Linked DNA regions of Rhinolophus ferrumequinum. The protein of the gene in region 2 purifies or fractionates together with the protein of the main gene of each other region. This does not show direct contact. Links are inferred from orthologs where the notes say so. Each region holds a gene or a part of one and is shown on either strand. Other genes may lie near its edges.

What was found.
Region 1: the proteins of KIF5A (region 2) and KLC2 purify together in Homo sapiens (affinity purification with western blotting; 3 studies listed by BioGRID and IntAct, with this or other methods). This does not show direct contact. The link is inferred for Rhinolophus ferrumequinum from reciprocal best matches to the Homo sapiens genes KIF5A and KLC2.

What each region holds. Positions count from the first base shown.
Region 1 is NC_046294.1:5,659,690-5,667,937, forward strand, and holds the start of KLC2 (kinesin light chain 2), read right to left. Parts: upstream 3,415-8,248; 5' UTR 3,040-3,414; intron 2,370-3,039; exon of another isoform or gene 2,333-2,369; 5' UTR 2,328-2,332; coding exon 2,094-2,327; intron 1-2,093. UniProt on the Homo sapiens protein: Kinesin is a microtubule-associated force-producing protein that plays a role in organelle transport. The light chain functions in coupling of cargo to the heavy chain or in the modulation of its ATPase activity.
Region 2 is NC_046293.1:56,514,214-56,522,401, forward strand, and holds the start of KIF5A (kinesin heavy chain), read left to right. Parts: upstream 1-4,923; 5' UTR 4,924-5,262; coding exon 5,263-5,391; intron 5,392-8,188. Other genes in the region: DCTN2 (dynactin subunit 2), read right to left, coding at 1,279-1,347, 2,230-2,265. UniProt on the Homo sapiens protein: Microtubule-dependent motor required for slow axonal transport of neurofilament proteins (NFH, NFM and NFL). Can induce formation of neurite-like membrane protrusions in non-neuronal cells in a ZFYVE27-dependent manner.

The DNA.
Region 1 (8,248 bases), on a different chromosome or scaffold from region 2:
GGATCCCCAACTCCTTCCTTCTGGGGTCAGAAGGCCCAGGCTCCCAGGCCAGTTCTGCTGGACTGAAAGTCCATCTCCTCTCTGGAGCCTTCAGCTAGTCCTCTGCATTGATGGTCCAGCTTTCCCGAGCTGGCCATTCTCTTCTCCTCTCCTGGGGGTTGTACTCAAGCCCCTGAAGCCACAGCCACTATAACGCTGCCCCCTGCCCCAGGGCTAGCACTTTCCTGATAGATGGCTGAAGGACCATAGAAAGACCCCATCCTGACTTCCGCCAAGCATCCAGATCAGCCCCTGCCTTTCTGGGGGGAAGGGGTGCATATCCCAAACCCCCGAATGGTATGGGGAACCACAAGGGCAGGTAAGACGACCCAGAGGCCTAGCCACAGCCCCCACCCCTCTCCCAACCTCTATGACTCCTTTCCTGAGCTCCCAGACTCTTCCAGGCTCTACCCTTTCTCCATCCTTCACATTCAGGGTCATTTTTGCAGTGAAGCCTCTTGTCTCTTATGACCACAGCCCCAGAAAAGCAGGGCACCTTCCACTCTCTCCACGCCATCCTGTTGCCCATCTGTGCCAGTGCCTGCACACACTGGGAGGGGGACCCCTGAGTGTTCATCTCTGCACCTGGCAGCTAACTGGCTGAGGAGTGAATGACCAAAACACATTGCCCATCCAGAGGGCCAGGCAGTCTGGACCCTGTGCTTTCCAGTTGATTAATAAACGCCTAAGTGACAGGTGTTTTTACAAACACTAGCTTTTTAAAAAAATTACCGCAACAGCCTGGAAGTAGAGACAGCAGATGGCATGATCCCTATTTTAAAGACAAGGAAATCAAGATGCTACCACCTGCCCAGGATTCACGGAGCCAGCCAGTGTCTCAGCCAAGATCCGAGGAGGCCAGGACTCTTCCCCCCAGAGCCTAACCTCCACATGCACACTGTCCTGGCAGCGCCAACATAAGAGGGCCAAGTACTGATCATCCAGCTTCTCATCCCCTTAACTTGCACCAACCACAATCCTGGGAGTTACCCTGCCTTCCTGTCTCTCCCTTACTCTGTCCCCAGGTCCCCCGGAACCTCCCTCCAGGACATCTAGAACAGGTCCCCTTCTTTCTACCCTTACAGCCACCCCTTTAGTCCAAGCTGTCATTTTTTCATTTGAATTCCAGCAGTGGATTCCTAGCTACCTCATACCTGCTTCCATCCTTGACCCGCTATAATTCCTTCTCTATACCTCAACCTGAGAGAACTTTTAAAACCTAAGTCACACTGTGTCCCTTGACTGCTTAATGCTCTTGAAAGGTTTCCCAATTTCCTGAGACTAAAACCCAAATGAACAAGGCGCAGAATGATCTGGCCTCTGCCTTCTCCACAGGCCTCTTCTGTCCCTCTCTCCTTCCCCATGAAGCTCCAGTCACATAGGTCTTCCCTCGATTGTCTCGTCACAACAAGATCTTTCCTACCTCAGGACCTTTGCACATGCAACCTCTCACCCTCCTCCCTTTTCTGGAGGTGGTACATTCCTTCCTGCGGGTCTTGGTTTAAATGTCATTTCCTCAGAATTCTTAACTGACCAATAGATAAGAAATCCCATTAAAAGCTATTAAAAGATCTTCCTTTGCTTTGGAGAACTTATCACAATGTGCAACAGATGTATGTGTGTTTCTGACTGTCTTCCTACTACACTAGGGCAGGGATCTTATCTGTTTTGTAGGACCTGTATCCTTGGCACCTAACATATTGCCTGGCACATAGTAGGCGTTTGATAACTTACCTATTAATGAATGAATACAAGAATGAGTCTGGGGAAGGGGTCCTTAAGGATTTCCTTTTTGTTCTCCTAGTCCAGTCTCTGCTACCTGGCAGAGAAGCGAGGAGGATGTCCTGAATGGGGGCTAAAGGATGGTCAGGCTTTTCCTGGGGCAAGGCCTGGCTGGGGTCTCCAAAGCCTATTCATTTCTTCAACAGATATTTACTAGGGTCCTACCATGGGGCTCCAGGAGGCAGACGGTTCCCTGCTCTGATTCTGTTCCACTGGAAGTCTCCATCCTTCCCTCCTGTGACCTCCCACCTCAGCACCCCAGACCAGCCTACCTGGGCCTCCCCAAGCCCCAGCTCGATGGCCTCCAGGGAGCGGCGCAGGAGCACACAGCGTTCCTGTGAGCCAGGCTCGGCCTCGCCGGCTTCATGAGCGACCAAAGGAGCGAGAAGGGCACGATGCTCTCCGCGCAGGGTCTCCAGCCCTTGGATGACTGCCTTGGTGCCCAGCACGATCTCATCCTGGCTCAGCTTCTCCTCTCGAGGAAGCACCATCGTGGCCATGGCCATGCCGCCTATAAAGGCGAGGGGGCGGGCAGGCGGGTGCCGAGCCTGGGACCACACCGCCGTCCGCCCGGATTAGGTAAACACCTCCGGTCCCCGGACGCCTGGATCCCCGGGGTGCCCTGTCCCCCAGCCGGCAGCCCGCACCGTGTCCGCGCTCGACCTACAGGGGGCGCGCCCAGCTTGTCTCGGCCCAGGAGACGCAATGCGGTGAGGCCGGACCGGGATTCGGCCCAGACCACCTGCTCAGACCAGCTTAGGCGGCCCAGTCTCGGGGCTTTCCCGGGGACTCTCAGCTAGGGCAGGGCGCACCGGAGGACGGTTCTACGGGGGGCTTAGGGGCTCACAGTCATTCGGGAGATCCCGACCCCTCCGGGAGGTCCAGCCCCAGCCCCTAGGGCAGCCCCCACCCTAACAGGCAGGCCGAGCCACAGGGCCCCTCCTTGTGGGCAGGCCAATCCTGGAGAGACGCTTCCCCTAGAAGATCTGAGATCTCGGCTTCTCCGTCACCCCAGGCCCCGCCCACGACGACCCTCCCCATAGGCGGGCGCAACGCCCTGTGGACCCTCCCCTGAAAAGGCCGAACGCCCGCCCCGGCCACTCAGGGCCGCGCCCCCTCCCCGTGGGTGGGCCTGGCCGCCCACAGGCCGCGCCCGCGACCACCCGTCCCCTAGGCCCAGCCAGAGGCCCTCTCCTGGCCCAGTCGGCCCGCGCAGACCTGTGCCTCTTTCTTGGGCCCGGCTCCAGCTCCCTCTGGCTCCGGCTCCCGTCCCGTTTCACTCGGACCGGCAGCCGTGAGCAGGTCCCGCCGCCTCCATCCCTCCGGCCTTCCCAACAGTCCCCGCGCCGCCTTAAAGGTGAAGCTGCTACCTCAGCGGCGTCGGAGGGGGCGAAACTCCCTCTTCTCCGCCTGCTGGCTGCCTTAAAGGAGCGCGCCAGCCGGGACTGCTCCCGGCAAGGAGTTGGGGAGGGTCGGGGCGTGGCCACCCGAGAGAGAGGGGCGTGACCACCAGGGGCGAGCGTGGGCTGGCGGCAGGCGCCCCTGCCCTGCTGCCTGGTCCACGCTCCTGCGTTCTCGGGTTCCTCAGTGGTAAAGCGCCCCGAGGCCGCAGAGGTGTGGAGAGGCTCAGGAGACTGTGAACCTGAACGCACCCAGTACCGCGTCGAGAGAGGAAGGCGTGAGAAACTGAGGCACAGAGAGCCGGCCCGGAGTCCACTGCGAGACCCTGGACGTTTATTGAGGGAGTTGCCACTTTCTAAGCAATGGTGTCAGGCGCCTTAAGTGGGTTAACTCAGTGAATGCTCGCAAAGACTTCATGAAATGGTCACCGCTGTTATCACAGCTCGCAGATCTGGCTGCCCTCAGGCTCATTTGTCTCTAGAGACTGGTTGCGCCTCCACCCAACTCGTTCGGAGCTGTTCATGACCCTGTAGGGGATTCACAACATCTTAGGGCTATTTCTTGGGGAGAAGGGACGGAGGCTTCTGACTGTAAGGGAGAAAAGGGTGGCACAGGGCAGCCGGGTATCTGCCAAAACAAAGACTCGTGCACCTGTGCTTGAACACCACAACAAATGCCTTTGGTGGGATGATCGAGACAAGGTGATGATGTCATTCGGGGCTCAGATGAAATGTCACCTCCACAGAGAGCCCTTCCTTGATTCCCACCCATGTACAGCTGCCCTCCAGTCCATCTCATGCACCCATTCAATTCTCTCTTAGCATTTATCCCTTCTAACACTTTTCCTGTCGGTTTTCTGTCTCTTCCCTAGAATGCAGGCCGAGCCCTGCCCATCTTGTCCACTCCCAGAGTAGCCCCTGGCCAGCCACACAGCAGCATTCAGTAAACGTTGGTTTTAAAAAAAGGGCAGAAGGGTGCACCTACTGGCTTTGCCAGGCCCCTGCCAGGCCTAGGTTTTGGTCTGGTGCTCTGCACCCCTGGATTGGTGGCTACCCTGGCACTGCCCCTACTGCAGGGCATCTAGGTCGATGTCACTAGTGGGTGACAGCAGGATAACCACCCCGAAGGACAAAACCTGCACACGCTCCTTGGTATCATCTCTGACACAGAGACGGCCCTGTGCCCCTAGCTCGAGTTCGCCCTGTGACAGGGAGCTCACTACCTTTTACTGAGAGAGTAAAGATTAGAACGTTGTTCCTTAGATGGCCCCCAAAGGACCTTCCTGCAGTGCTCTGAAGCTCTGTCTCCAGGAAGAACAGTCTGCTCCCTTTTGCCAATAAAGATATTTAGAGGCCATAATGGTCTCCTTGCCTGTCCCTTCACCCACTCCTGGCCCAGTTTCCTGCCCCTTCTCCATCCTGATTTCTTCTTTCTGGGTGTAGTTTAGCGTGTCAGTCCGGACACTGCTTAGAATGTGGTGCACAGTCGAGGGCCCAAGAAACCAGCCGGGAGCGGTCTGCACAGATCACAGAGGGATGGGCCCCTCTCGATGACTATGCTACCTGTCTACCATGAACTTGAAAATCAGCCTGGCGGCCACCACACTGTGTCTGCGCAGGGTAAGCTTGTCAGCTGAAACCCTAGATTGCGTGCATCCCCATTGTATCCAGCCAGGTTCTTCTCCCCGATCCTGTGCTTCTGCCAATGATTTCCCCCCAGTGATGGAAAGGTAACTAAGACAGCCATGGGATGCAAAATTCGAAAGGCATCTACAAGTTATAGTGAAATAGAGGTCCTCCTTTCTGGCCACTATCCTCAGCCATGCAGCTCCCCTGCCCAGAGGCACCTGCTAGTACCAGTTTTTGTGCCCTTTCATTAGGTGGTTTGCATCAGTGCAGAGCTTGTGGTCACCCTTCTCAGTTTCTTCTGGTCGGTTTTCCTCTGGGGTCCTGAAGATTGGAATCTTTCGTGTTTTCTTTTTTTTTTTTTTTTTGGGGGGGGTGGGTCTGTCGTCCTCCAGCTCTATCTCCCAGAGGTGCTCTGGCTGCTGTGTGATGAGCCCGCCTCTGGGCATGGAGTCTCCATCAGTTCATGATCGCACTCCCAACTTGCCTGCACATCTACAGGGAGGAAACAGAAGCTGGAACCCAGGGCATCTTTGTCACTCTTAACTAGGCTGGGTTTCAGAATCTCTCACAAAGACACTGTTAGAAGGCTCTCTTTCTAGAGATTGGGATTCGGTGGTGCCAGGGTGGGTCCTGGGCATGTCTTATTTTAAAACTTCAGTGGTGCCCAGGATGTTCATCCTCAGTTGAAAGCCCTTGCTTTATTTTACAAGTAAGGACACAGGCCCAGGGAGGGGAAGGCAGCTGCATGAGGTTCCTGGCAAGCTCAGGCTCCTAGTGACCACTGGTCATTTTGTTCCAGTGGATAAGGGACACTGACCTCATGGAGTAGCGGTCAAGAGAACCAAAGTCAAGTGCTTGTTCACACCTGCCTGAAAGTACAGTTGCTCAGAGCCTCAGGCAGATTCACCCAGAGGCACTGAATGAACCCCTGTGTGCCACATGCACACCTCCGCGTGTGTGTTTTTAGGCTCAAGTAAGTGCAAACCACACATGGCCACACACAAACACACGACCACAACCCCTGCTTTCTTCTCTGCGCGTCCCCTCTGTCTGATAAAGGAGTACATTCCTTTTATCATCTTTTACCAGGTAAATGGAAAGAACATTTTTCAGTCTCCGGTTTGCTGGGTTTTTGCTCTAGCTTTTCTGCCAACATCCCTGTAGGTGTTGTAGTTTCTCTGAGATTCTCTTTAGGCAGCTGGCCCAGCTCCTCCCCCTGTGCCTGGTGTAGGGAAGGCCGTTCTCAGGCTCTTATCTTGATTTCAGTGCTCGACCTTGCATATGTTCAAACCTTTTCAACTACCCAGCTTTTTATCTTGTCTCTGAAGATTGTACTGTGTGTCTCCCGCAGGAAGGACTGTTACTTCATCCGCTCTGTTCTGTACCCCCACCCCTGCCCCGCCTGGGCAGCTGCTGGGCAGCCAGGCGGCTGATGGATGCCCAGTTAACAGAGGGTCAAGGAAGGAGCCCATGCTCAGTGGTGATTCGGCTCCTCATCCCATTTTCCACAGGGCTTCACAGGCTTGCCCCTGCTGGTCCCCAGCCTGGGAAATCGTTGCTACTTTTAACATTGTTTTCTCCCTGAAAATCACTCCCACTGCTCCGACCCTTCCCCTTGGATCCTTGGAAGCACACATCCCCCTGAAGTCTGCTTTCTTAAATGATTCTTTTCCCCCCTTGGCAGCTTCACTCCTTTTCTTTGAAATGGCCTGGGAGCACTTTCACTAAGCAGTCAGCGAGTTCACTCATAAACGCCCAAGATTGGAGGCTCCTTAAAGATGTCTCCCCATGTGATGCACAGCTCCCCACTTCCTGAGGGGCCTGTCCCACTGTGAACACCTCTGGTTGTCAGTTCTTTCTGCTACTGAACCAAGAATCGAGTCTCTTCAGAGCTCCTCCAGAGGCTCCTGGTTCCTGTCTTGGCAGTCACGTGGCAAATCTGCACTGTCTCTTCCTTGTGGCCTCCCAGCCAGACTAGAAGTGTCCCCCATCCCCACCCCACCCTGCTAGCGGGAGGGCACATAAGCTTTGGGGTTACACGAAGGTAAGTTCAAAGCTGCGTTTCTCCATCTGCCAGCTGTGCAGACATAGGCGTGCTATCCACCTGTTTCCTTATATGTAGGATGAGTTTCTTAATATTTACCTTGTTGGGTCCTCAAGAGAACAGAATAAACAGCAGAGTTCAGATCTTAACATTACACTTTGTACATAACAGAGACTATTACTAGTAGTTATTTATTATTACCATCAAGCTCACTGTTGGACAGATCTTGTGCAAGTGAATGGAGAGTGAGGAGAAAAAATATGACACATAGGGCAATGTCTGCTTATGGTGGTGTTGGAGAGAAAACACATTCAGAATGAAAGCGAACAACAAATGAGGCAGTGCAAAGAAGAAGAGTGAGTCTAAGATGTTTGATGCTGGCAGTAGATGCCCTATGTCAGGGGTGTCCAGACTTTTTTCAATGTTTTTTACCAAGGGCCATATGCGATAAAATACACAAACAGCCGGGCCACTCACTCGAGGTGAAGTATGTATTGCCTCACCTGGTTTATTTAAATAAACTAAATATATTTTTGGAATTTGCTGCGGGCCAATTAACAATGGATTGCGGGCCGCAGTTGGCCTGCGGGCCACAGTTTGGACACCCCTGCCCTACGTGGTCAAGGACAGAGGGAGATTAGTCCGGCCGGGGCTTATCTGACCCTTTCTCTAAGGTCAGTTCTCCCACATGCTAAAGAAGCCCAACCCTCCACCAGCCCAGATCACTCCCCTGAGCTCCATCCAGATCCATCCAGATATATTTAACTCCAGTTGGACGCCTACCTCTGAAGAGCACATATCCCCCTTGCCCAAAAGCCACCCAAGTCTCCTCTGAGATGTTCCACCATCTGCCCGTTCATCTATGGCAGGCTGCCAGTCGTAATCCTCAATTCTCTCTCTTTCGACCCTCTTTCCTAACCAGCCACTGAAACCTAATGATTCTACCTCCGAAGTAGGATTCAAGTCCCCATTTCCCCCACCTCTTATACCCGTGCCTTAATCAATGTCTGGGCCACATCTTTTCTAAATTGCTGCAACACCCTCCTAACTCCTCGAGTCTCCAGTCTCGTTTCCTCCCATGTGATCTTTCTAACGTCCATCATCTCACCTTTCTGCATAAAACCCTTTCTTGGCTCTCCACTGATCTCAGGGTCAAGTGCACAGTCCTTGCTCTGGCACAGACACAGCTACAACGCTCTTCAGTGCCCTGGCCTCTTCCTTTCTCCTCCGCCCTGTCACTCACCATCCCCATCCCTTTTCAGCCACATTAACCCAAGTGTATGACTGTCTGACAATTAAGTTCCTGAACCTGCTGCAACAATGTTCCTAACCTTTTTTTGATATCAGAGGGATT
Region 2 (8,188 bases):
CCCTGTGAGGTCAGGCAGCTCCCTAATAAGATACCTCTTGGAGGGACAGGTGCACACCTAGGTGCTTGAGCAACGACAACATCTGCGTTATCTCCAGATACTCAGGCTTGGGGGACAGACTGACATGCCAGCAAGTACAGAAGCCACAAGGCACACACCACTGAGAGAGGGGATGGGAAGGTGTACCCCACAAAGCAGGAACCACTTCCACATGGGGGAAACCAAATAAGGAATAAGTGAGTACGCCAAGCCATACATTGTAAGCCAGCAACCAGCATTCTCGAGAACTAATGAGCCCCACAGACAAAGGACTTACAGACACACATACTGAGCCTGTTCCCACTGACTCCTGGTCGCAACTTTATTGAGCTCTCACACCATCCATGTAACCCTAGCCCAGCTCTTTTTGGAAATAACAGAACCTAAAACACATCCTACAAGACATGGTAATAGATCTTTGTTCCCCTTAGCACTTACATACAGAATTTTTACTATGTTGATTTTCATTCACTCAATTTTATTTTTTCTTCCGTGTTTCCTATGTTTCCTAACTCCCCCATTAGTCTGGGGGATCCTTGAGAGTAGGGACATTTCTTCCTCTGCATTGCACACACACAAAAAATCAACACAGAATGAACATATTCAATAAACAATGCTAAGTGGTTCCCCTCATTAAAATGGGTCCACAGCTAATTCCTTCCTCCTCAGAATTCTTCTTGGATCTGAGCGCTACCAGGGCCTCACCTATGCTGATATCAGAGTTGTGTTCTGCCTCAAATTTGTTTTGTTCTGACCAGGTCTCTCTTCTTTCTAAAATCTTCAAATTATTTTCTTACTCCTTGCCCAACGGATACTGGATATTCATATAAAAGAGTTCTTCTCTATACTTCCATGTCTAGCTCTTGGTAGGATGGTAATGAACATGTATTAAATGAAATATTTTTGAATGAGAAGGTCTAGGTCCTAACCTCTAGCAGTTTATAAGTGCTTCGGCTTCATGATTCATTACCACGGCTCGCACCCAGGGGCTTAACCAAATCACTAGTCCCAAAACTGTTTTGAGATATTTCAAAGGTCAAGGATCAGGTCTTATTAGTTCCTGGCACGGCTCACTGGCAGCTGCAAGACCAGCAAGGCCTCTGCAAGCGCCGCCACCTACACACCACCCAGGCTGGGTTGGCATACCCGCTTATTGCTGTGGCCCCCAGAAATGGGAAAGGGCCTGCCTGAGGGAGGAAGGTCAGAGCCCAGAGGAGTCCCGAGGCAGCACAGCCTTACCGCATCAAACTCCGCTTGGTCATCCTCAGGGAGGTCGCTGGTTTCGTACACATCTGGCTCGTTCCTGGCCTGCAGGTAGAAGCAGTGACCACCCAGCTTCACTACGGAGCATCCACCAACACCCCTGACCCTATTCCATTCGAACAAGTTAACAGAGAGGGCAGGTTGTGATGCCAGGATTCTGTCCCTTCTCTTCCACCTGCCCGGTTAAATGCACATCAGTTCCCATGACTTAGAAGAATGGGGCTAAGAGTGGGACAACTGGGACCTGATGGTCAATGGTGAGTGTAAGTGATGACAAAGATGTTACCCTGAATCTGAAGGGGGGTGGGTCTTTGGCAATCATGATGGCAAAGGTAGAAGGACTATCCTTGAATCAGGTTCTATACACCACTACCCTGGCACAAGGGTTTAGAGTGACTCAGGACCTTAGTACCCATGATCCTGTGACCCAACCCCCACTCCAAGAATGCAGGCAGGACAGCAGAAAAGGGTACATGACGGCATGTGAGAGGTAGGTTGGGGTTGGGGTGGACACTCCCAGGACAGTTCTCCATCTGGCACAAGAAGGGTTCTGCCTTGGCAGGATAAAGGCCATCACTAAATAGCCTGGTATGTGTTTCTGGGGTGGGGATGGGAGGTTTGGGGAGACACGGGTGGTGCTGACACGGATGGCAAACACTCGACCACAAATGGTAAGGGCCCGGAGACAATTTCTGGGCCGAGAAACCGGCGACTGCCGGAAGAGGGGCCTGGTAGGCCGTCCCAAAGCCCGGCCCAGTCGGGTCAGAGGAGTCCGGAAGATGCTGCGGCCCGTCCGGGAGCGAGCCGCGGGAGCCCGGGGGCGGAGGAGGGGCTGCAGGCGGGAGGGGTCACGGGTTGGTGTCTGTTGGGGGTCCTTAGGAGGTTGGGGGCGCGGTCCTGGGGACCCGGGGCCGGCCCTGTACTCACAATGCCGGGAAGGTCGGCGTATTTAGGGTCCGCCATGGCGGCGGCGAGGCGGGGTTGGGGGACCGGGGACTCGGCGGAGCCGGGGCCGGTGTTCGGGTAGGGGAGAGGCTGGGTCCGGGTCCCGGGTTAAGGCGGCGGCAAAGGGAGCGGCGGAGGAGGCGGAGAAGCAGGAAGTCTCGCGACAGCAGTAGCACAGGAGAAGGGTAAAGCAAAAGTCGCGAGAACAGCCCGCTACCACACCCCTGGAGAGGCGAGGGTTGGCGAGAACGAGGCCAGGGAATGAGGTAATGGCGGGGCGGCGGGGGGAGGGACGCCGCATAGGATTGTTGGATATGTAGTCTTGGCCGACCCGGTATTGGGCGGGAGGCGACATCCCCATCTCAGGCCACTTAGTGATGGGAGTTATTGCATTCAACTTATTTTCTTTAATTTTCACATCGTCTGTGAAAAGAGCTTTTATAATTCCTGTTTTTCAAATGAATAAATTTGCACTTCCAGAAGTTAAATGACTAGATAAACATAACACAACTAGGCATGTTGGGGCACAGCCAAGACTTCAAAAACAACAATAACAGCAACAACAAGTAAACTTTAATAAAGCCTCAGTCACGTTTAGAATGAAAAAGTGAAGCAATTGTCTCAATTTAGAGCTGTCATATAAAATACAGGACGCTAGTTAAATATGAATTTCAGATAAGCAACTAATAATTTTTTTTAGTATAAGTATGTCTCACACCATATTTGGGACATAATAACACAAAATATATTAGTGTGTTTTTTTTAAATCTGAAATTCAAATTTAACTGGGCATCTTGTTTTTGTTTTTCAAACCTGGCAATCCTATGTTAAGTTCATAAATAGGTAAATGGTGGCTCTACATCTGAGTATCCTCTGTTCTCTTAGCCATTTCAGACTTTTGAATTTAATAGTTCAATAAAATTAAAACAACAACAAAAAGTTTGCGAGGACAGATACAGTATTGTTACCTTCATTTTGCCAAGTAAGCACATTAAAAAGAAAAAAAAGAAAACCTACTACTTACTATTGCCATCATTTCTAAGTAGAAAAGTAGGAAGGATATACTCTCAGAAAAAGACAGTCCTTCGAAACTTAGTAAATCCTGATTTATGAAAAACCACACTGTGGTGTTTTTTTTTTAATTTGGGGAGAGGGGCGGTGCTTATCCATAAACTTTTATCTCTGACCAGCGACTCTCCATGGACTAGCATTTTGAAACTTCTTCACTGGAGCCACCCTGGAGCCCTTGGGGGCCTGAGGTTGGGATGTTTCCCAGGATGTTCTCTGAGCTTGCAGGATGCTGCAACACTTAGAAATAGTGCCAGACCAAGTGACTAGAGAGATGCCTATTTTCCTGAGTTTGGAACTCACTGTCATTCTATGCATACTTTCCTGGCTCCTCCCCAGACCTCAACCCCTCCTTTTCCATAGTCCTACTGCTTTCCCATTCAGTTTCTTATGCTGGACCCTTTTCCTTCAGTGTCCTTAAGATTCAAGGTAGGTTAGAGGTATAGGTCCAATTTGGGAAACCTTCTCAGCTGAGTTCTGAGTGGTTAGGTCTTTTCTGGCCAGGCTGTCATTCTCTCCTCTTGCCTCATAGTGTCTAAGTGACCTTAGACAATAACTAGGCAGAACCTCCATCCCCTCCTCCCTTCTCCCATCATCCTGCTCCATCCCTTGGCCTAGAGCCTCGACTCCTGCAGTCTAACTCTGTTGGCCAGCAGAGGCCTGTAATGTGGAGAAAAATCAATTCAGCCAGTTTCTAGATGGTTCTGCCCAGGAGCTGCAGCACGAGTCTGACCTAAGGGGAGGAAGGACAAGGAATCTCTAGGCTTGTTTTTTGTTGTTGTTGTTGTTTTGTTTTGTTTTGTTTTGCAGGTAAGGGAGAGAAACAGAAAAGAGACCTGAAGAAAGGGGCTGGGGTGTAGGAACTCTGTCCAATAGTGACTGCAACAGGAAACACACTCACATAGGTGCCTACACCTGCCTAAAACCCAAATGCAGATGTCTGCCCTAGAAGGCCAATGTTATAGTCCCTCTGACCTTCCGCATTCCCATCCCTACCCCCTCTTCACTGCTTTCTGACTCCCTTTCTCTTGCAAAAGTTACTCCTGCCCACCTCCATCCCAAGCCTAACCTACGAGGCAAAAATGAGAGTCTTATCTCTTTTTGAATTCTGACAGCCCAGAATGGGAGTTCGTCTTCCTTCAAATCGGAGGCCTGGCATGTATGTTGGGGACAGAGTGGAGTGCACCTCTGAATGTAGAGGGGAGGGAAATAGCCAGACATACCCTGATACTCCTCAATGAAAAATGGGACTTGGACACCCACCTCCATAAGGGCACAGGCAGCTGCCCTTGAAGGTCGAGTGGATTGGAAATCAGTGCCAGGAGTGTGGGGAGAGGGAATGAGAAGTGTTCTCCCAATTTGGAAAGAGGATTGTGACGGGGGTGGAGGATGACCTGGGGTAAAGGAGGTGGAAGTGCTGATGATTCTGTCCCCTAGACAGGCAACAGGCCCACTGCAGACCCCTTATTCCTTCCAGAGGAGTGGAGTCTGAAGGAGGGACAGACAGGTAAGGCATGCAGTCAGTGACTTGGGTGGGGAAGGGGTGAGGGCAAGCTCATCTTCGAGAGTCAGGGGTGGGGAGAGAAGGCAAGAAGAGAGGAAAGGTGCCACCACTCTAAGGTGGACACCCAGCACCAGGCGCCTCGCGAGGGAAGCCCCGCCCCTCTTCTCGGTCGCCGCCCCGCCCAGGCCCGCAGCGCGGCGCTGCAGCGCGAGGGGCGGAGAGGCAGAGCTCCGCGAGAGGACCAGACGCCTTAAGTCGCCAGCATCCCGCTGCAGCAGGAGAGAGGAAGTGCTCCCCAGCCTTCATCCCGGCGCTCCCAGAGCTTTCTCGGCCCCAGAGACCGAGCACCTGCCCTCCGACTCGGCCTCTGCTGAGCTCCCGCCCCCGGAGCACGCACCATCCCTTCCGCCCAAGAAGTGCCCAGCCCCAAGCCTGCGACCACCATGGCAGAGACCAACAACGAATGTAGCATCAAGGTGCTCTGCCGATTTCGGCCCCTGAACCAGGCCGAGATTCTGCGGGGGGACAAGTTCATTCCCATTTTCCAAGGGGACGACAGCGTCGTTATTGGGGTGAGTGCCGCCGCGGGAGGGAATTTCGGGGAGGGGACGGGAGGTTGAATCCTACCCGTCGCTGGGCCTTAACCCCTGTTTGTCACTCTGCGCCTCCTCCTCGCCGCTCATCCTCCATCCTTTTCGCCGCAGCCCCTCCTCTCCCCAGCATCAGGATGGCTGGGTGTGGCCTGGCCAGGCCCGAGGCCCAGGTTCCGCAGAGTGGGAGGGGGCTACTTCCCCGCGATCAGGTCACCCAACTCCCCTTTGCTGCCCTCTGCAGCGTCCCCACCCCTTAGAGTCAGTCCCATGTTTTTCTGATGTTTTCCCTCTCCCCTAGAGGAAGCGCATCTTCCCTTTGTTATTGGCTCAGATCTCTACCCCCACCTCCCAGAAGGGGGGGGGGGAGACTAGTGGATGGACTAGATCGAAGGTGGGCAGTCCAGGGTCTCTGCGGAGGTGTAAGAGAATGGGCTCTGGGACCAAACCCTCCATCATCTCTTGAAGTAGTTAAAGCCTGGACTTGGGTGGGGAGAGCACAGATCTGATGAAGGGTTTTCTGAGAACGAAATACATTGATGACACACCCAGGTTTTTTTGGTGGGGAGCCACTGGGGTCCTAAGGAAATGTCTGCCTTTCTCTCCCAGGTACAGTAGGAAGAGGATTTCAGACCCACCCAACTCCCCCTAACAAATAAAAATAACCAGACCCCGAGATCCTAACAAGTACTTGCTTATTCATCCTTTCTCTTGATGATCCAATAAAAATTAGCAAGCCACCTCTACCTCATCATGACAGCCCCATGGAGGAGATCTTATGAAGAAGGAAAAGTAATGTTTACTGTGTGCTTGTGACTCTACATTTATTATTTAACCCTCAAAACAACACTCTGAAGTAAGCATTAATATTTCCATTTTACAGATGAGGAAATTGAGGTCCAAAGAAGTTGAATGACTTTATCAAGGTCACACTGTTAATTCACGGATATGAACCTAAATCTGTGACTGCAAAACTCATGTCTTTTCCTGTGTCACATTGCCTGGACCTTTATCTGTGATGGCCCAAAGGGAATTTCTCACCTATCCCTCCTTTGCTAGGTTGGTAGGGATTGTCAGGCTATGGGGTGAAAGGATTGGGGTTGAGTCCAGTAGGGCTTGAGGGGTTCTAGGCCAGGAAACAGTAGCCAGTTTGAGAAGGGAGGGGCACATATGAGGGCAGCCCTCAAGGTCAGGGGCACTTCTTATGTATCTTTGATCTACAGTGCTTGGCCCAAGACATGCTTGTTAAAGGAATGAAGGAAAGAAGAGGAGGGAGCCTGGGCATTCTGAATCAGTGAGAATGGGACTTTAAACACGCCTTAGTAAGAGACCTGCTTACATGTCCTGTCCTCAAGGGCCCCAGTCTGTCACCACGTTGAACTCTCTCACCCACACTGTGAACTCAAATGGGTACTTTTGCCATGTGTGTGCTTATGAATGTGTGTGTTCGCCACCTAAAGAGGGCCCCTATCTCTCTCTGCCTCAGGGACCTTAGGCCTTACACTGGTCAGTGGATCAACCCTAGGGGCCTCCTCTCTGAGTAGTCTGGATAGCAGGCATTAACTATGAGAATAGTTGGAGCTTGAGGTCCCTCTGAGATATAAAGGCTGAAAAACAGAAGGGAGGTGGGTGAGTAAATCCACAAAAGGCTTCTACTTTTAAGCCCAACTTCCTTGCTATAAGTTTTTCAGGTAAGTCTAAACCAACTCCAGACTCTCTGGGCCGTTCATCCTGGCCTGGCGAGCATGGGACATGGGATGATGTTGGGAGAAGGAGTTGTAGTGTTGATCTTTCCAATTTGCCCAGCTAAACAGGAGAGACACTGTGGAAGGTGGGGTAGGAGGAGAGCTGAGGGGAGGCCCAAGGCCCGCTGCCAGTTCAGATTCTGTCTTAGCTCCACAGCTGGTTCTTCCCTGCCTGTTTCGCCTGATATTTGTAGGGCTGTACCTTTGTCTCACTCTCTGTCTCCCCTTGCCCTAGCCCTTCCTGTCAATCTCTTACTCCAAGATAAAGGCGCATGGCGGGGTGGAGGGGGGCATTTTGTCTCAGGCAGCATCCTTAGAGCTTATCTTCCCCACCTTACTATTCATTCCTCATTCAGGAGGATGAGGGCTATAGGAGAAGTGATTTTTGAGGAGACCCTTGAGGTTCCCAACAAGGGAAGGAAATTGCCTACCCGCTTTTCTCTTTCATGCTCTAGCTCCCTTTGGGGCCCAGTGTGTGGGAAACTGTCTGAGGAATTAATGGAGGAAGCTGCTTCAGGATGTCTGGGAAGGTGAGGGAAGAGGGAAGGTGGGAGAGGGTGATCTCTCCACATCCAGCCCCTGCTCCTTTCTCTAATGGCTCTCTTCTCTGCTTCTGCAGCACTGCGGCTGGCTCTGGGCTTCAGAGTTCCTAATGTTTATGGGTTTTTTCTGCTTGGCAAAGGATGGGAGAATAAGCTAGAGAGACAGCTCTGTGAACCTTATCCCTCGCCCACTCCCCTGACTTCTCCCAGGAATCTGGGGGATGGGGCTTAGCCAAAGTTAATGGCCTGAGTCATAGTAGAAGAGTGTCCAGGTCAGTCTGTGTGTGCTCTGTACCTTGTTTTGCTCTTTGTGTCACTCAGAATCCACTGTGACTTATTCACTGGACCCATTTAAATGTCTCTCGTTTTTAATCTTGGTGGTCAGAGTGTCTCGCTGCCTGCTGTCCGGGCTGCTACATCTATACCCGATGTGGGAAAGGTGACAGTAGGGAAGCACACACACACACACACACACACACACACACACACACA